Macaca fascicularis: one gene and its partners. The protein of the gene in region 4 purifies or fractionates together with the protein of the main gene of each other region. This does not show direct contact. Links are inferred from orthologs where the notes say so. Each region holds a gene or a part of one and is shown on either strand. Other genes may lie near its edges. The genes, in order: PPP2R2D, PPP2R2A, PPP2R1B and PTPDC1.

Region 1 (5,109 bases), on a different chromosome or scaffold from region 4:
CCTGGCTAATTTTTGTATTTTTAGTAGAGATGGGGTTTCGCCATGTTGGCCAGGATAGTCTCAAACTCCTGACCTCAAGTGATCCACCCGCCTCAGCCTCCCAAAGTGCTGGGATTACAGGTGTCAGCCACCACACCTGGCCACCCATCTCTTATCTCTCACCAACATCTCTCCCTCAAGGTTGCGTTGGGCATGACCAGCTTCTCAATTCTTGCTGCTCAGCAATCACTGGTGACCAACGACTACACTTCCCTTCATCATCACTGACTGTGTGGTCTTCATACAAACCAACAGTATCACAACTATGGGACAAATCGATGGTGAGTTATAAATGTGTTAATCTGGATGGGTTACTATGGCCAAAGCATACATGGATTAAAATAGAAAGCTGTGAATACCTACAATAACCAAAACGTGTGGATAATTACCACAAAACAATGTTACAAAAAATAAACCACGACAACTCAAAATACCAAACTTTTGGATTTACTCAAAATTTAACTTAAAATAGGGATTTAAAACTGCAAAAAGTTCCCATCAGTTTAATTCAGAGAACAAAGTATTTGTCAAGTTTTTTTTTTTTTTTTTTTTTTTTTTTTTTTTTTTTTTGAGATGGAGCCTTGTTCTATTGCCCAGGCTGGAGTGCAGTGGCGCCATCTCCACTCACTGCAACCTCCACCACCTGGGTTCAAGTGATTCTCCTGCCTCAGCCTCCCAAGTAGCTGGGATTACAGGCATGCACCACCACGCCCAGCTAACTTTTGTATTTTTAAAAGAGACGAGGTTTCACTATGTTGGCCAGGATGGTCTCAAACTCCTGACCTCAAGTGATCTGTCCACCTTGGCCTCCCAAAGTGCTGGAATTATAGGCATGAGCCACGATACCTGGCCCAAGAATTTTTTTTTAAAGAAAGAATGCTATTTTCACATGTGTAAATTCACAGTTAAAATACACTACTTTAGTTATACTTAAATTTTAATTCATTCAGTTTATCATTTTTTTTTTTCAAGTAAAGAAACCAGGCAGGTGTGGTCGCTCACGCCTGTAATCTCAGCACCTTGGGAGAATGATGTGGGCAGACCACTTGAGCCCAGGAGTTCAGACCAGCCTGGGCAACATGGTGAAATCCTCTACGACAATACAAAAATTAGCCTGGTGTGGTGGTGCGTGCATGTCTGTGGTCCTAGCTACTCCAGAGGCTCAGATGGGCCTATGAGCCTATGAGGCAGAGGTTGCAGTGAGCCCAGATGACGCCACTGCATTCCATCCAGCCTGAGCTACAAAGTGAGACCCTGTCTCCAAAAAAAAAAAGAGTTAAAAAAAAAAAAAAAAAAAAACAGAAATTAAGGCAGGCATTAAGCCCTCTCACCTTCCTTACTCCCAAACAAGTTTTGCTTTACTTGCGATAGAAGTCACACTTCAAACTTGCTTGGCATATACAAAATCAAACAAAAAAAGGTAACGTATTTTAAATAAATAAAATCAATAAACTTTTTACATCACATAAAATGTACCTAGTTTTAATCTCAAACAGTATACATTATGCATTTCTTAGAGCCCAGTTTCACCTGCTTAATAACCTAGGCCCTGTTTGTGCCAGGGGGCTCAGAACTTCCAGATGTCCTCAGGGGTCATGCACCAAACCAGACACTGCCAGGGAAAGGTACAGGGTAGGGAAGAGGGAGTAAAATGTCATGGGAGGGGCTGAGATGGAGGGAAGTGAACAGAATGTCTGACAAGGGGTTTCTAGTAACTTGAGGCAGGAAAGGTGTATTTGGTGCAAACACAAATCATTTTTAAGAAAAGGTTAAAGGTTTACAATGTTCAGTAAGATATATAAACAACAAAAAAGTCACTATGGCTCTAAATCTGAAATATTAATCAAACTTCTAAGACTCGACCAAGTTCTCCATTCAACGGTGAAGAAGGAAAGCTACACAGCTTTTTCACTCGAGGGTGACATGCAAGCTTCACGGGAAGCTGAGGCGGGAGGCACTCCCCAGTTTCCTCCTACCACCCTAAAACTTTGTGCCTGGACCAATTTAAGGGTATGATTTAAGGAAATGACCAGCGAACTTCCAGTAATACCATAAAGTTCAAGATTAAAATCTGGAGTAGAGACTTCAAAATATATCAATAGAGAAAGGAGCAATACTTCACAGTAAAATTCAAGGATGTTAGAACCTCAGAAAGCAGACCTTAACAATCAGGGCGTCCAGCTCTCTTGTTAAGGGTGGACAAACCGAGGCAACCAGCTTGCTCAAGAGCGCACCGGCGAGGAAACGCAGAGCCGGGCGGGGGCCGAGGCCCCGACCCAGCCCTAGGCGCGTTCCCATCCTCCGGGCCATTGTGCCGCGCTGCCTGAGCGCAGAATCTGGACTCCGTTCCCGTCCCCGACTCCGCCGCGGTCTCCGCGATTCCGCCCCGGGCAGGAGGCAGCCCCAGGCGCTGGGTTCGGAGGGCCCGGCCGCCCGTGACCTTGGTGACTTACATAAGCCCCGCCGCGGGCCCGGCGCCTCCGCCCGTGCCCCGCGGGCCAGGACAGCGGACAGACGACGGCCGCCCCACGATGGTCCCCCACCACGGCCCCCAGCCCCTGCCCCGCCCGGCCCCCATCCTCCTGCCTGCCTTCCTTGGGCGCTTGGGGCCCGGAGGCCGCGGTCGGCCTGGGGGCTGCCCGCCAAGGTCCCGGGGCGGGGCGCGGCGCGGCGCGGGCCTCACCTTCGGCCACGTCCTCGTCGATGGCCCCCTTGACCTGCGAGAAGCACCACTGGAAGTCGTTGCCGCCCGCGGGGCAGCCGCCGCCTCCGGCTCCTGCAAACACAACGGGGCGGTCAGGCCGGCCGCGGCCCCCGCCCGCCCCCGCGGCCCCCGCCGGCCCGCGCAGGCCCCTCACCTGCCATGGCAGCCGGCGGCGGGACGGGCGGGGACCGCGGCGGACTAGGGAGACGGCCTCCGCGCCGCTACAGCCGAGCGCTCAGCCCCGGCCGCCGCCGCCGCCGGGGAGGGATTTTTTTCCCTTTTCAAAATGGCGCCCAATGCCCGTCGCCCCGCTCGATGACGTCATCGCCCTCCGCCTCCTCGAACCGGCAGCGGACGGGGCGGGACGCGGGGGTTGCCGGGGGCGTCCAATGCGCCTGCGCTTGCCGACCCCGGACCTGGGCCCGGCGCCGCTCGGCTAGGGGGGAAGGGACGCCTGGGCGACTGCAGAGGGTAGCTGGGGTCGGCGGGCGCAGGCCAAGTCCTCGGCCCTCGGCGCTAGGCCTCCCGTAGTGGTCCGGTGTGCGCCCGGCGCTCCCCTGAAGACTAGCGCCGCCGAACGCCCCTACTCTCCGGGAACTCCGGGAGGGCCTGGGCTGCGGCCGGACACGCCTTCCGGGCGCCGCTGGGCCGAACACGCCCCCATCCCGCATCGGCCAATGGGAGTGTGGGTTCTCCACCGAACCGCCAATGGAGGGCGCGCTTGGCGGCGGTGGGCGGGCATGTGGGCCGTCCTCACCTGAGCGCGCCGCACCTGAGCCCTACCTCCCGCCCACTGCCCCCCGCGCGGAGTCTCGCTTGGTACCCCGAGCCGAAGTGTAGGGGCGTCATCTCGGCTCTCTAAAGTCTCGACCTCCTGAGCTCAATCCATCCTACTGCTTCACCTCGGAAGTAGCTGCGAGCACAGGCACGCGCTGCCAGGCTCGCGAATTTTTTAATTTTTTGTAGAGACGGGGGCCTATGTTGCTCAGGCTGGTCTCGAACTCCTGGGCTCGAGCCGTCTGCCTGCCTCGGTCTCCCAACCCCGTCCACCTCCCTTTCATAGCGCACCGTTGCTCACCAGATGGCTACCTTACAGGTTCTCGGAGCTCCCAGTGCAGTCTTGGGGAAACAGGGCCGATCGTTTCTTCATTTGCGGGGGGTTTTCTCTGGCATACTGAGCGATTACGGGTGCTCCTCGACTTGCAGTGGGGCTACCCTCCCCGCCAATAAGCTCTTCCTAAGTCAAAAATGCATCTAATACCCAATCTACCCATCGTAAAGTTGAAAAATGTGAAGTCGAGCTATCATCAGGGAGACTGTCCCTATGGGATTGATGTCCGGAATCAGAACTACTTTCAGTATAGCTGCAGTGGGCGCTGATGGTATTGCACCACTAAAAGACAGTCGCTGCAAATCAGGAACATTCGTCCACTCCAGTCGGAGCTGGAGAGAAAAATCAGAGAAGGAAACGTGTATGGAGAGAGTTGGAATCTTGCACGGGGGTGACTGGAGAAGACTCAGGGATAACGAGTAAGCATGCAGACGTCTAGGAAAGCTTGGCCAGGAGGAGAGACTACCAAGTGCCAGGACAGGAAGGAGGGCCATGCCTGGCATGGGCAGGAGGCAGCCGGAAGCCGCATGGGTGCAGAGTGAGTGGAGGGGAGGCCAGGGGTTGGAGTCAAGGCAGGGAGGTAAGTGGAGGAGGATGGACGGTGGGCAGGCCATTTAGGGGACTTGAATTCTGAGTGAGATGGGCTCATGAACAGAAGAGCATCGTGATGGACTGGGGCTTTCACAGAGCCACCGTGGATGCTCTGCTGAGAATAGCCTGTGGGGACCCCAAGAGAGGAAGCAGGGAGACCAATCAAGTGGCCAGCTGGGCTGACCAGGCATGGGGATGAGGATAGAGTGGTGAACGTGGGGTTGGATGGTGAGAACCAGTTAGATTTCAGAGAAAAGCACTTTGACAGCAGAGGCTCTGGGATTCGCTGATGGAAGAGATGTGGTGTGAGAGAATGCAGGGACTTAGGAATGACTGCTCTCGGGTGGTCTGAGCACCTGGAACGATGGAGTTTCTGCAACAGAAGGGCTGCAAAAGGCCCATCTGGGTGGGGGCAGTGCAGCCCGACCAGAGGTTCACTGTCAACACATAGCGCTGTTGCACAGACAAACCTGGAGCACGCAGGGAAGTCAGAGCCAGAGCATCAAGGTGAGAGCACTTAGAGTTTCAAGTCAGGAAACTGGGTGAGGTCACCCCAGGAGGGAGGACAGATGGGGGACAGGACCAAGGACAGAACCCTGAAGGGGTGAGGATGTGGAGGATGAGCGAGCAGCCTGCGAGGTGGGCTCCTGGAGAACCCACTTCA
Region 2 (5,063 bases), on a different chromosome or scaffold from region 4:
CCAGTTGGCTTCCCATAGGATTCACCACACTCTAAAACAGACACTTCATTAAGAATGACACTGACACAAGCAAATAAAAGCATTCGGCTACCACCCACCAACTGAAAAAAAACCTCCAAAAGAGTACCCTACAGACAGGTCAGAAATATGAGGACAACACAATCTAGGGAAAAAAGGTTTATGAATTTTCACCAAATTTTTAAAATTCAAAAGTACATGTTTAAATTTATGAGTTTTGTTTGGAAAATTCCTACTGTAATTCAAGACACACAATACCATTAAAAAACGTCAACATTTCTGAGGAATGAAACAATGCAACAACTTTGTGGGAAATGCCTCTGCTGCCTAAGACCATCTCAAATGAATGCAAAACCTTGAAGTTCCAAAACTTAAACTTCTGAAACACATTAGTAAACAAATATGGGGAGAAAATTAGACGTTAAGCACTTCAACTGATCAAACACAGTTTCTACCTGCACAAGAATAACGCTTCCTAGAAGACAAGCAATATATGCATAGCATTGTTACTGTCTTATCCACCTAAATACTAGAAAGACAACAAAACGAATAACCTGAGCTATCATTTCTTCACAGAATATGCCAATCAGCATCACACTCCCAAAGTGGACAAATTCAAAAGTAGTTAAAAATCTTCCCATAAAAATCAAAGACGCTGTTAAGAATGTTTCTGAACCAAATGCTGATGGCACCTATTTCAATTTACTTATCTAAAACAATGTACAAACATAAAAACGCATCGCCATTTATTTGTATGTGGAATTTACATAACAAAGAAACCCTTAAATGCAGCTCACAGCTTTCACGTGAGGATTTTGTATGTCTCATCACCTTTCATATAAATTCAGAGGAAAAAATAATAAAAACAAGGCATAAATAAATGAAATTTAAGGCTGTTTCTCAGAAAGGTAACTTTTAAAACTGTTCTTACATTTCTTGGACAATAAACACAAAATCATCTTGAATTTATAGTAGTTTCGGCTTCAAGGAAATCCCTCAGTAGGAAACATTTCTGAAAAAATTACATATCCAAAATTTGCATTATTAAACGCTTTCTTACCTTCTGCTACATCATCATCTACTGCTCCTTTCACCTGAGAAAAACACCACTGAATATCATTCCCTCCTCCAGCTCCTGGAAAAATAAAACATACCAATTAAAACCGAGTTCTGCTTATGTTGACTCTCGTAAACACAGAGATGGTATCCATGGTTGGCATGATACTAACAGCCTAGTTCTGCCCACACATACAACTACCACCAAGAGTACCAGTTTGGAAAAAGATGAGACCCCAATAGTTGGTACTGTACTAAAAAGAAAAAAACAAACATTCCAGGTATGAAATTATTTAAAGGCACATGATCTACGGTCATTATACATCTGTTCACAAACCTCCTCTCAAATACAGTAAAAGCCTTACATTCAGGCAAGACCTACCAGAAAAAAAGTAAATACCAAGAGTTAAAGAGTTTTCTTTTTAAGTGTACAAAAAGCCTGCAGAAGAATTAATAAGGTTAACTACCATGAAACATAGAACGAAGAGAAAACTTCGGGAACATTACTGCCTGGGTAAGAAGTAATGATTCATATGAACCCTATCACCAAAGTGCACACACAGCAAACACTACACCCATTTCTTTGCATTCATTACCAGCAAATCACTGGCTCCAGACAGAGAGGAAAAGAAACCGAAATGAATGCTGCTAAAGAGACTGTCAAAGGAAGCTTGTTCTGCCTCCCTTCACCTCATCTCTCGACTCCAAAGGACCTGGCAAAGAATTCATTTCGCTAACATGTCATCTCGTGCAAAACAATTTTAATCTCATTTCATTATTCAACAAGGCCAACAAGCAACTTATTTATAGCAAACAAGTCAATCCGACACGTTAACTTTTTCAAAAGGTTTAATTATCTAAATAATGAATATAATAGCACGGAAAACTGGTCTCATCGCGGAATGTTTCTATTTCACGTGCAAGTACTGAGGTCGAAATCGTGAAAATGTCCTGGGGCTCTAGGGAGAAAGAAACTGAATCTAAATCCGGAATTGATTCTACTACATGAAGGAAAAGATTTAGCAACACCAACATGTACAAAAAGAATTCTCAAAGCAATTACATTACTTCTCTCTCCCCTATCACCCCTATTCCTTGCTAAATTTATTCCTAAACTGATTTTCTCTCTACATCCTTTCCCCTCCCTTTCAAAGCTTCTACCTAAATCTCTCTCCTCCTAGCTATTTATATCTCTGAACTCCGCAACTATTTTAACTAACTCTACCAAACCCTTTTGGGAAAAGGACATCTGCAAAAAAGCTAACATACTAAACGGAAAGTTTAAATTATTTTCATGCAACTTGCTGTACATGAAAGGCCTTGCACTCTTCGGCGGTAAGAGGGAAGAAACGGAAACGAAATGGTTCGAAACAAAAAATTTAGGCTTCCAGTCTCAAAAATACTGGCATCCACAGTGGGGGGAAAAATACACATATGCCCCCATTGTATTTTAACTTGTAAAGCGCTCTTCCTTCTCGGTGCAAAATAAATGTGTATATACACCCAAGAAGACTTGCAGCAGGGGAAAAAATACAAATTAAATGAAGACCTGCAGGAAAAAAAAAAAAAGGCGAGGGGCGAGGTGGGGAGGTGGGAGAGGATCCACCAGGCTCCCGAGCGGGAGGGACAAATCTGCACGCGCCCCCACCCCGCCCCACCCACGCCTCACCCCAAGCTCGCCGGCACACCCCACCCCCACCACCGCCACGGCGCCAGCCCCGTTCTCCAAGCCCAGTGACTCTCACTGTGACCACTTGCCTCCTGGGAGCCCTCCCCGCCCCCACCCCACCCCTCTGGACCCTACTCCCTCAAACCCGAGGGGCGTCCTATGGCTCCGCGCGAGGCGCGGGCGGTCGCTAGGGGGTGATGGAGGGAAAAAGGAGGAAGCGGTGCCTTGTCAGGGGGCGAGGGGGATTTCTCCTTTACCTGCCATGTTGCGCTGCAAATGGTGACCCTGCTGGGTTCCTCGGGGTCTCCGCTTCCTGAACTCACCCCCCTCACCTGGGGATGGGGGGGTAGAGAGGGCGGATGGCGGCGGATGGCACCTGCGGGGGGAGGGGACGGGGGCCGGGGGAAAAGGAAGGAGGGGCGGGCAGACCAGCCGGCAGGATGCTAGATTTCACTCTGGGGCTTCCCCGCTCGTGCTCTTTCTCCGGCAGCGGCAGCGGCGGCTACGACAGCGACGGCGGCGGCGGCAGCGGCAGGGGTAGGCGACTCCACTTTCAAAATGGCGCCGGCTGGCCTGGCCAGTGACGTCACGCAGAGGGCGGAGCTGCCAGGCTGGGGCGGAGAGCAGAGGGGGAGGGGCGGGGGAGCGGCCGGGCCTGCTCCTGGCCACGCCCCCTTCCTGCTGCGCTCGTGCCCCGCCCTCCGCGTCCGGACCGGCGGGGCCTGCGCCGCTCCCGCGTCTGTCCACGGCACCCCATCTGCCCGCTCCGCCTGCGCCAGGCCGCGGCTGTATGCACCTGGCAGTGTCCCAGCCTCTCGCACTAGCGCGGGAGCTCTGGGGCGGGCTCAGCAGTCCAGTTTACGTCCTCGCCTGCAGGGATTCGTGGGGTCCTACGTCTTTTAGGAATACCAGGGCCGGGGACCGTGGGTCACGCCTGTAATCCCAGCACTTTGGAAGGCTGAGGCGGGCGGATCACAAGGTCAGGAGTTCGAGACCAGCCTGGCCAACATGGTGACTCCCCATCTCTACTAAAAAAACATACAAAAATTAGCCAGGTGTGGTGGTGTGCGCCTGTAATCCCAGCCACGAGGGAGGCTGAGGTGTGAGAATTGCTTGAACCCGGGAGGCAGAGGTCGCAGTAAGCCGAGATCGCGCCACTGCACTCCAGCCTGGGCAACAGAGCAAGACTCCGCGTCAAAAAAAAAAAATACTCGCACTACTACTTAGGAAAGTAAGTAAAAAGGAAGAGTAAGTAAAAAGGGCTGTCACTTTGGGTCAGCCCTGAGGCCGCAAAGAAAGGGAGAGCGGTGCAGACTTACTGCTCAGCCGGGGTGAAAGTTCACGGTGTTCAGAGGGACACCATTGGGCTGGTTCCATCTAGGTAAGTTAAGTCACCTTCGCGTGGGCCCCAGGAACCAAGGCAGGAGTCCTGGGCACTGCAGGCACTAAGGGTGGTTTGTAAGAGAAACCTGAGTTTGTGATGAGAAGGGTATGGCCCAAGAAGTGACTTGGCGTCTCTCCAGCTAAACGTGGTGTACTGCGTGCTTAAGAGCTGGGCGTTTAAGAGCAGTGGCTCACGTCTGCAGTCCCAGCAGTTTGGGAAGCCGGGGTGGGAGGATCGCTTGAGGCCAGGAGTTCCGAGTTAAGCCTAGAGAACATAGGGAGACCCATCTCTACAAAAAAAAAAGTTTTTTTAAATTAGCCAGGTATGATGGCGTGCCTATAGTGCTACTAGGAGGCTGCAGCTGGAGGATTGCTTGAGCCCAGTAGGTCAAGGCTGCAGTGGGCTGTGTGATCACACCACTGCACTCCAGCTTGGGAGACAGAATGCGATCCTGTCCAAACAAAAACAAAAACACAAAAAGTGCTGGACTCTGAAGCCAGGCTGCCTAATGTGATTCCAAAGCTCAGGAGATGAAGATGACAGTCCTACCTGATAGGATTGTTGGGGAGATGAAATGACTTAATTTGAGCACATGATAAATGTTAGCTGCCGTTGTTATTAGATTTGTATTGAAAGCATCGTCAGTAAGGTTAAGAGGTAGAAGGAAAAAAATGAACAGGAAATGCCAGTCATCAGCTATGAGGGGATGTGCACTTCTGTTGAAAGATGCTCTAATGATGCAGTTGCTATATACAGCATAATTTACATATCTCATTCCATCTCCACGATGCTCCTAGGAGATAGATATGCACGTTTTACACATGAAAAACACCTGTAAAAGCATCCAGAATTTGGCCTAAGGCTGAATGGAATGATAAAGGTGTTTGGAGACCAAGAAGGGGGAGTTAAAGATATTTACACATCCTCCCCACCATC
Region 3 (4,537 bases), on a different chromosome or scaffold from region 4:
TCCTTCCTGCAATAACAAGACTGACATCACTGTTGTCAGGGAAATGGTGTTTTGATTAAAATCATGTGACAGCTACTTCGTGATTCAATAAACAAATCCCCTGTTAACCCTCGCCTGACAAGGCCTGCCAGCAGCTTCATCGGGGAGCCCCCCTGCGTCCTGTCCGGGAGCGAGCCGCCGCGCGGACCCCGGGCACCACGGTGTGGGAGGTGACCCACGCTGCTCCCTGGCAGATCCTGCCTGGGGGACACACATGACATCCAACACACAGGCACCTCCACAGACTTCAAGGGCGCCAAGGAGGCGCCCTTCACCAAGGGAGACTGGCTCTTGCCCCTTCCATTCTCTCTTCAAGTGATGGGCCCAGCCCCTGGAATGTCCAATGGCTCCCTGAGAGCCCTGAGGGTGGCTGAGAACGGATGGTTCCCGGGGCTCTCAATAGCAAGGCGCTCACTCTCACCCCGTTCGGACAGACTGGCAAGTCCACTACACACCCTAGACAGTGAGGGGTTAAGAACAATTTCTGGTTGCAATTGGATGACTTCCTGGATCACTCACTTGGCTGCTGGCCCCTGACACACAGGGTTCTGCCTGGCAACAGCCAATTCCCTTTCCATCTCCCCCTCGGGTCATTTTCCTTAAGTGAAACAAATGCATGGAAGGCTCCCTGAGTCATGGGGCGGGGGATTTTTCTGAGTTAAATGAACTGAAGCCTCAGAGGCCTAGCACCAATGGGCCTCCTTTCCTGGAAAGAAAGATTCTCAAATAGACATGACAGAGGTTGGGGGAGATTCATGAGGGACTGAAAAATGATGACAGCACTTAACCACCTAGGGTGGGTGAGGATGACATGAGATTTAAAGTGCCTGACAAGGGGCTGCAGTGACCAAGGCTCAAGTAACGACAGTTAATTCTCAATAACTCCTCAGCTAGCAGAGGCACAGCTCGGGCCGTCAGAGCTGAGCAGGTCAGCCATGGGAGGGCCACCTCAATGACCCACGCTCAGATCGGGTCTTACCACGCATTTATGGCATGAGCAGTTGGCTCTGAATTTGTAGGAAGATGTAACCCCTTTCTTCCCAAAGAAGTCTGTGGTTTAGGCCTAAAAAATGTGTAACTGTCACCCCCCACTCCTTCAGCCAAGTTCTCCTTCCTGCGGCCCAGTTCTGTGAAGAGAACATGGACTCCAAGGACTGGCCACTCGGGAATCCATCCGGACAGTCATCGCCCAGCCCTTCCTCCCACTGTGTGGCCACTGCAGGAACGACCGGTGCTGCCCACGGACAAGTGTGCAGCCACTCAGGAAGGCAAGAACGTTCTAAGATGAGCGAAGGCGATTCTGGACCTCAACAACAGGAAAAAACGTTTTCATGGTTTCGGTTCACATAAAATGAAAAGCCATGTGACTTAAAAGGCAGCCTTTTTGATGTTACTTCATAGAATTTCACCAAGCGAACCCACTAGAGTGGGTGTGAGAATGTCAGATTTTTCCCCATGAACTAAACGCAGTCTGGCATCAGCACGAGGCAGCCAAGCCCTGCTGCTCTCCTTTTCTGAATATATCTGTAAGTCACAAATCGCCCTCCTAATGAATGGCCCTGGGGCAGTGGCTGGCACCGACTGCTGAAATGCGGCTTTTCACACCATTTCCACACAGAGTGGCGTCCAGTGGGGCTTGTAGAACATGAGCTGTTACAGAGAAACTTGCAACTATTTTTATCTTGAATGGAAATAACTGAGGAATTGTGGCAAGTCACTTCTGTATTACGTGAGGAAAATGGGAACAGCCCCTTTTTACAAGCAATTCTTCACCAAATCCCACCAGTGTCCTCTATATGGGCTTCGCTGTTGGACGGGGAGGTGATGGGAGATGGGCCTCAAGCTACAATAGTGACAGCTCTGGCCGGCAACCCGTCCCTCAGAAAGCACTCCCAGAACGAAGTAAGCTGGCAACAGGCTTTAAAAATCTACTCCCGGCCCTTAATATTGGACTCTTCCCCTGGGGACAAAGTGAGAGGAGCTGCTTCTCAGCCTACCCTGCGGCAGCTCCCCGCAGACCAGGCCACCCTGGCTGCCCGCAGCCCTGAGGGCAGGACTTGGCCCCAGGCTTCCGGGGCACTTACCTTCCCCGTGTCCTCTCCAGGCACTCTGGGTCTTGGGAAATGGTTCTTGTCAGCCCGAGGGACACTGGGTTCTCCACTGTCCTTCACAGGAAAATCTAGCTTCCTCAGCCTTTGTGCCACCACTAGAGACACAGACAGTGGCGCTGTAACTGTCCCTGACCAGGGCACATCCCTCCCAAGCCCACCTGCGCTTCCCAGCCAGGATGCCCTCAGTTGTGCCAGCAGAGCTGGGAAGTCCAGCAGCAGCCGACAGTCTCTGCCCATGGGGCACTGGGCAGAGAAGGCTGGGGCAGTCCAGGGTCGTGCTGAGGTGCCTTTCCCTCGGGGCCCTGGAAAGCGCTGCCCCATAGGGCCTTTTGGTGTCCACCTGGCTGTTCCCTACATCTTGGTCACTGATGGCCTCCAGAGCCCCAACCACAGGGAAGACCTGGCTCCTTTCAGAACTCCTATCAGTTTAAGAGAACACCTCTGGAGACAGAAATGACTTGGCTTTTCGACGCAATGAGGAATTAAACTCTATTCGTCCTCCAGAAGATTTCCATCCCAACTGAACGTTATGTAATTTCCTGGAAACAGCAGGCTCGTGGAGGCAAACAGGGGACAGTGAGACTATTCTAGGTACAGAGGACTGGAGGGAGACGTGCGAGGGAAGAGGAAAGAGGGGAGTAAGGAACTGGATGGAAACAGGAATACTGGAGAATCAAAGGGAAACAATTACATCACATCAGACTGCAGTCACCTCAGCTGGTAAACCAGGAGAACACTGGGCAACAGGGCCTCTCCCCCTAGTTTCATATCCAAGCAGTGGAGAAAAATAGGAAGCTTTACGATAAGAGTGTCACCATTTTTAAGTCAGAGGAATTTAAGTAAAAGGCAAGAGGACAGGACAAGCACCTGACCTGTTTGGCCACCCTGCCCTGCCGTCGCCACAGGGACAGAGCCAATGTGACGTCTAAGGGCAAGCCCCAGCCTTTCAGTTTAGTGACAACACAACGGTTAACAAAGGAACAAAAGTGCACCAGGTTAACCGCCGGGCCAGGAAGGACAGGCTTGCTTCCCTAGAGGTCTACGCAAACAACCTGAACGCTTGGGCAAGCCAGCTCAAAGGTCAGGCTGCCGACTGTTGAGTCAGGACAAGCTGTCGGACGAAGACCCCTGGGGCTCTGCATCACAGTGGCCGAGCTGTGGTATTTCTGTGAGCTGAGGGCAGCCCGTTATTTCAACAAGACCTCATTAGAAACCACATATTCACCTGTTTTCCTTCTTATGCAACAAGATGCATCCTCAGGTTCACATCTTCTTGGCAGCACAGAGAAAGAAACAAGACCTGGTCTCTTAAACCTGTGAGGAGTAAACCCCACACAAATTGCAGAGAAACACCAAGGTGAACTCCATTGCTGCTGAGACATTTGTACGGCACAGGTAATATGTTTGTGTGTGTATGTGTGTGTGTCTGCTTCATTTTTCTAATCAAACAACTGATGTAAGCTGCCAAGGATGAAAACCAATACATGTTTGAAGCAACCAGACAAATCCACACAGAACTGTAGTCTAAGCCAGGGGACCAGAGAAGGGCCACATAAAGCTTGTTTCCTGAGAGCAGGAAAATCTTTGTGTCGATGGGAAAATAAGACACAGTCTGGTTCTTTTGGTGATTTGTTCCATGTACACAACACATCAGAGGATATTTTAGAAATTCATCCACTGAACACATTTTTATTGAGCACCTATTATGTGCACCAGATACTGTTCCAGGCACTGGCAATACAGAAGATAAAACAGACAAAAATACCAGCCTTACAGAGCTCCTAAAGCCTATATTCCAGTGAAATCAAGATAGGAGAAATTGTCCCTTAAGTTTAAGGTAGTTAAAAAAAAAAAATAGGAGAACTAATTCATGGAGAACATGGCCAAGTTATGAGCCAAAGCACAATTCCTCCAAAGAGTGCCAAAGCAAATTATCTTTTGCTTCACTCAGAAGAAAACAATGAAACCCCTGAGGGGTCACCACAAAAGACAGAGGCCCCGCTGAGCCCCCGACCCATGCTTGAGAAAGCCAGGGCCCGCTCTCCCTCTCAGTTTTAGGGTGGAGAAGTCAATGCTTAGGGCTCCTCAGGGGGAGACACAAGGGCATTTTGAAAGTCTGTCCCCAAAACAATGGTATTTCCAACTAGAGCAAGGCAATGGTTCCAATGCAAATCTGTTTCATGAAGACAAATGTCTCTCAAGTCTGAAATTCAATGAAGAACTTGCAGGTAATAAAAAATAAAGGCCCATGAAACTAAAATTAAAATGTTTATAGAATAATAGCATAAGATAATAAAATGAGAATACAGAAAAAGATTTTTGCTTAGGAAAATACTTAATTCTTGGCCCAAAGTCATAAAATAGAAACTTATTGTAAGGTAATTTGG
Region 4 (4,537 bases):
ATGTAAACACTATATACTTAAAATGTTAATGCAATAATATTAACTCAGTCAAATAAAGAAAGTGGCACCAAATTTATGGCAATTTTTCAAAACAAAAATGTAGCTCAAGGATATTTAAAAATAAATAATTGGTTCAAATAGGGACAACCATTCTCAGCACAAATCAACGACATTCAAAATAAAGTGCTATGAGAAAAAGTAGCCCCACAAACTTCGACTTATTCACATATGAACAGAGATACTATCTGGATCTTTAGGTCTGAAATATTCACCACGAGGGAAAGCTAGAGGCCAGGCTTAGGGCCATCTTTTGTCATTTTTCTTTTTTCTTCCAGCGTGTGCTTAAATATTTTCTTCAGGGTGTTGTAAACTATTGGTCCATTTTCAGAATCAAAATTAACCTGGTGATAAAGAAATTTATATTCAGGACACTGTAACAAGAATTTTAACTAGTTCCTATTTTGAGAGAAGGAGGGGGTGGAGAAAAAAACAGACTTACGAACAAAACTCTATATAAAATACACATAATAAGTTTCACACATTTTAGTTGAAAGACTATATTAGAACTGCCAACCATGTCAATACCAAACTTATGAATGAAAACCCCAAAATTAAATCTAGTGCCTGGATATTTAGTCTAATTATACACACCCAGACATGAAGCAAGTCAACAGTGGGTGTGAAGTGAATTTTTTGAGACTATTATTGATGGTATAAGGGAAAAGTTTCCTGTATTAAAACAGCACATCAGCTGTATACGTCCTGCTAAGAGGCCCTGTGGCCACTCTGGACAGAATCAGAGTGACGTGAATAGAAGCCCAGCTCCCCACCTGCTAGCTATGTGCCCTCATCTCATACCCAACCTCTCTGGACCTCGATCTCCTCCTTTGTAAAACAGAGATAATAATACCCACCTTCGTAGGATAGCGTATCTGTGAGTCTAACATATGTTTGGCACATATATACAAACCTCAACTGGTCAGGCGTGGTGGCTCATGCCTGTAATCCCAGCACTTTGGGAGGCGGAGGTGGGAGGGTCGCTTGAGCCCAGGAGTTCGAGACCAGCCTGGGCAATAGAGCAAAACCTCATCTCTACAAAAAATTAAAAAAAATTAGCCAGGCATGGTGGCACGTGCCTGTTGTCCAGCTACTTGGGAGGCTGAGGTGGGAGAAATGCATGAGCCCAGGAGGCAGAGGATGCAGGGAGCTGAGATTGTGCCATTGCACTCCAGACTGGGCGACAGAGTGAGACCCTGTCTCAAAAAACAAACAAACAAACAAACCCCACCTTGATAAAGGTAAATTTCCTTTCCCCTTGATGGGAGAGCACTATTTACACATATTTGCATTTTTTCACCCAAGTTTACCATACTCTGGGTTAGGAGTGATGGCAGAACTGAGAACCAGAGCAAGTACCCACCCTCAGCCCCCTTCCCAGAATAGTGTGTGACTCCCTGGGAAAGAATCAGGGTCACACAATCACTGCTTCTCTCCTTCTGGAATTTCTCCTCTGATAAATTTTGAAAATGGAAGGTTGTTCCCTCTGTCAACAACTGTAAAGGATCTGACTTTGACCTGTTAGCTTGCCAGTGTTACGGACACTGGTAGAAGATACGAGATTTCTGGGTCAGAGACAGACAACTTTTATTTCTCACAGCTGCACGTGCTTCATGTTCACATGGGTTCTCTTTGTCTCCCAAGTCTCATGGGGGCAATGCAGAGGGGCCTAGGTGAAGGCTGCACAAGCACGGGGTTTGCCTCATAGCTGAGGAGCCCCAAGCTTAGGAAACTCTAATGTTTCACAAGGGGGCTGCAAAAAATTCTGCCAACCTTTGCCCCGAAGGGAAACATTTTTATTATCCGGGAAGTCAGAACACGTGCCTTCTGTTCTCCAGGCAGAGCTCTCCAGACACTAGTGAAGAGTTGATCCCCAAAGACAGTGGTCAGGGCATCTGCTCATCAGACTATGAGGAGACCTGAGAGACCCAAGGAAAACTGTCTCCTAACATTTTCTATAGACGGATTTTGAACAATTGCTATCTCTAACTTTTCCTTCATATCCCCTTAAAAGGCCAACAGAAGTTGTAAAGAATTCCTACTGCTTTCAGAGAGACCAATCTTAAGATTTTTTTTCAGTCAAGCTCAGAATTTAATTTTATCTATAACTACACTGTATATCCTATTTGCAAAAAAACTCCTTATTAATATTAACAATGGTCTGAATTGTTTACCTTTTTTTTTTTTTGAGATGGAGTCTCACTCTGTTGCCAGGCTGGAGTGCAGTGGCGCGATTTTGGCTCACTGCAACCTCCGCCTCTCGGGTTCAAGCCATTCTTGAACATTCTACAGGCGCCCTCCACCACGCCCAGCTAAATTGTTGTATTTTAGTAGAGATGGGGTTTCACCATGTTGGCCAGGATGGTCTCGATCTCCTGATCTCATAATCTGCTCACCTCAGCCTCCCAAAGTTCTGGGATTACAGGCATGAGCCACCATTCCCGGCTCTGTTTACTTTCTTAAACACCAAACTACAACCTTCTTCACATGGAGGGTAGCCTTTCAGTCTATGAAAATGTAAATACAGATGTAAAGGACCACGTGGTTTGGATTTGAGACTACTGACTCTGGAAACAGTTGAGAACAGATTGAAAAGATGTCAGTGGTTAGTGCCATAGAATCCAGATGAGGAAAAAGGAAGGCCTGAAGTAAGAACATCACTCTGGAAAGAGTGGAGGGGAAGCAGACTGGACAAATATTAAAAAGGAAGAATCTTCACAACTTGTGAATGAGTATAATTAATAACTTATTAATGTTACCACAGATGTTGTCATTCAAAAGCTGGGTTCTTTAACGACACTTTCATATCAATGAGACGTAACAAACAAATTATAGATACTTTCATATCAATGAGAAGTAATAAACAAATTATAGTTGATGGGGTAAGGGGAAACTTTTCTCTCGGTAAGAACCTGGCTTCTTCTTTCTTCAGCCAGGAAAAACTGCTGCATCCAAAAGGATGGGCTTTTAGAAATAAAACCTGTTTGTTTTTTTTTTAACTCTTTCCTTAGGATTTGCCAACCAGGACTCAGTACTGAATCAGCAATGTGGGATGTTTACTTTTCTTTTTTTTTTTTTTTTTTTTTTTTGAGACGGAGTCTCGCTCTGTCACCCAGGCTGGAGTGCAGTGGCCGGACCTCAGCTCACTGCAAGCTCCGCCTCCCGGGTTCTCGCCATTCTCCTGCCTCAGCCTCCCGAGTAGCTGGGACCACAGGCGCCCGCCACCTCGCCCGGCTAGTTTTTTTGTATTTCTTAGTAGAGACGGGGTTTCACCGTGTTAGCCAGGATGGTCTCGATCTCCTGACCTCATGATCCGTCCGTCTCGGCCTCCCAAAGTGCTGGGATTACAGGCTTGAGCCACCGCGCCCGGCCAGGATGTTTACTTTTCAATAAATGGTTTCTTACTTAAACCCAAGGTAGAACTGGCTCGACAAGCAAAGATTCTCTGACTCTGATTAGGCACATGATCTAAAAATATGTATTCAATACTCAGTTATTTCTCTCTTTCTTTTATATAAAAGCTCTTTGTTCCAACATTCTCCTTCAAAAAACCCACAGTTCAGTTTTTCCTAAGATCATTGTTTGGAAACTTTTTTTTTTTTGGTTAAAACTCTGCAACTACTTAGAAGAAATGTCAAACAGATTTCCATGAAGGGAAAACGTACACATACATGTTTTATTTTAGAGGAGGATGGTGACCTCTGGATTCTGATTTACAAAAATGATGCTGATCTGTGGTTCAGAGAGGGGAAAGAAGAGTGTGACCCACCTTAGTGAACGCCTTAATGGCATGGGCAAGGAAAGCTTCCTCCACATCCACGGGAATTGTCTGCAGGTTCACTATGCAGTGCAACACGCAGAGAATAGTCTGGTGCTGTCCCTGTTTTTGTAGAAATCAAAATTTTAAAAATGTGTTCAAAAAACGCCTCAATAAATCGATTCAAAACTATCTTAGAGTCAAGAATTGGTTTGTGACCAAGTACTCGTAATGTCAAATGCCAAAATATCTAACAAAATATCTAAACATCAACAAATGTTTATTATTATGTGTTAATATAATTTGAAAAGTTTTCAGGAGATAATATCAAAGCTGGCTAGCTATTTCACAAAGTAAAACTAAATTTGAAGATCAGTGCAATTTTAAACCAAGTGTTTCTCTTGCCGTGAATTGAACAGATTTTCCCATTCTTGTTGTTTCTGGATATAATCATGTCAGTTGTCTAGTAGATGGCGACATGTCATAGAGATACATGGACTAACTAACTGGGCACTGAGTGGTCAGGATCTGGGTACCCAGCCACTGCAGATGATATGGAGGGAGGGGGTAGACAAAGAAAAGGACAAGGGCAACCCCAGTCCCCCAGGAGCAATGCAGTGCTTAAGTGCTTAGCCTCCAACCTAAGGGGGTAAGATACTTAAAAATGCGCCCACTGACTTCACTCCTGGGGGCTGTTCACCTTAGCAAAGGAGAAATTCCATC

The links.
Region 1: the proteins of PTPDC1 (region 4) and PPP2R2D purify together in Homo sapiens (affinity purification with mass spectrometry; 5 studies listed by BioGRID and IntAct, counting the BioPlex papers as one, with this or other methods). This does not show direct contact. The link is inferred for Macaca fascicularis from reciprocal best matches to the Homo sapiens genes PTPDC1 and PPP2R2D.
Region 2: the proteins of PTPDC1 (region 4) and PPP2R2A purify together in Homo sapiens (affinity purification with mass spectrometry; 4 studies listed by BioGRID and IntAct, counting the BioPlex papers as one, with this or other methods). This does not show direct contact. The link is inferred for Macaca fascicularis from reciprocal best matches to the Homo sapiens genes PTPDC1 and PPP2R2A.
Region 3: the proteins of PTPDC1 (region 4) and PPP2R1B purify together in Homo sapiens (affinity purification with mass spectrometry; 3 studies listed by BioGRID and IntAct, counting the BioPlex papers as one, with this or other methods). This does not show direct contact. The link is inferred for Macaca fascicularis from reciprocal best matches to the Homo sapiens genes PTPDC1 and PPP2R1B.

What each region holds. Positions count from the first base shown.
Region 1 is NC_088383.1:140,951,239-140,956,347, reverse strand, and holds the start of PPP2R2D (serine/threonine-protein phosphatase 2A 55 kDa regulatory subunit B delta isoform), read right to left. Parts: upstream 3,042-5,109; 5' UTR 2,905-3,041; coding exon 2,898-2,904; intron 2,816-2,897; coding exon 2,723-2,815; intron 1-2,722. UniProt on the Homo sapiens protein: Substrate-recognition subunit of protein phosphatase 2A (PP2A) that plays a key role in cell cycle by controlling mitosis entry and exit. Involved in chromosome clustering during late mitosis by mediating dephosphorylation of MKI67.
Region 2 is NC_088382.1:29,477,474-29,482,536, reverse strand, and holds the start of PPP2R2A (serine/threonine-protein phosphatase 2A 55 kDa regulatory subunit B alpha isoform), read right to left. Parts: upstream 3,319-5,063; 5' UTR 3,008-3,318; coding exon 3,001-3,007; intron 1,154-3,000; coding exon 1,079-1,153; intron 1-1,078. UniProt on the Homo sapiens protein: Substrate-recognition subunit of protein phosphatase 2A (PP2A) that plays a key role in cell cycle by controlling mitosis entry and exit. Involved in chromosome clustering during late mitosis by mediating dephosphorylation of MKI67.
Region 3 is NC_088388.1:110,657,588-110,662,124, forward strand, and holds part of PPP2R1B (serine/threonine-protein phosphatase 2A 65 kDa regulatory subunit A beta isoform), read right to left. Parts: exon of another isoform or gene 3,811-4,537; intron 2,246-3,810; coding exon 2,124-2,245; intron 1-2,123. UniProt on the Homo sapiens protein: The PR65 subunit of protein phosphatase 2A serves as a scaffolding molecule to coordinate the assembly of the catalytic subunit and a variable regulatory B subunit.
Region 4 is NC_088389.1:124,332,892-124,337,428, reverse strand, and holds part of PTPDC1 (protein tyrosine phosphatase domain-containing protein 1), read right to left. Parts: intron 3,938-4,537; coding exon 3,827-3,937; intron 402-3,826; coding exon of another isoform or gene 285-401; exon of another isoform or gene 1-284. UniProt on the Homo sapiens protein: May play roles in cilia formation and/or maintenance.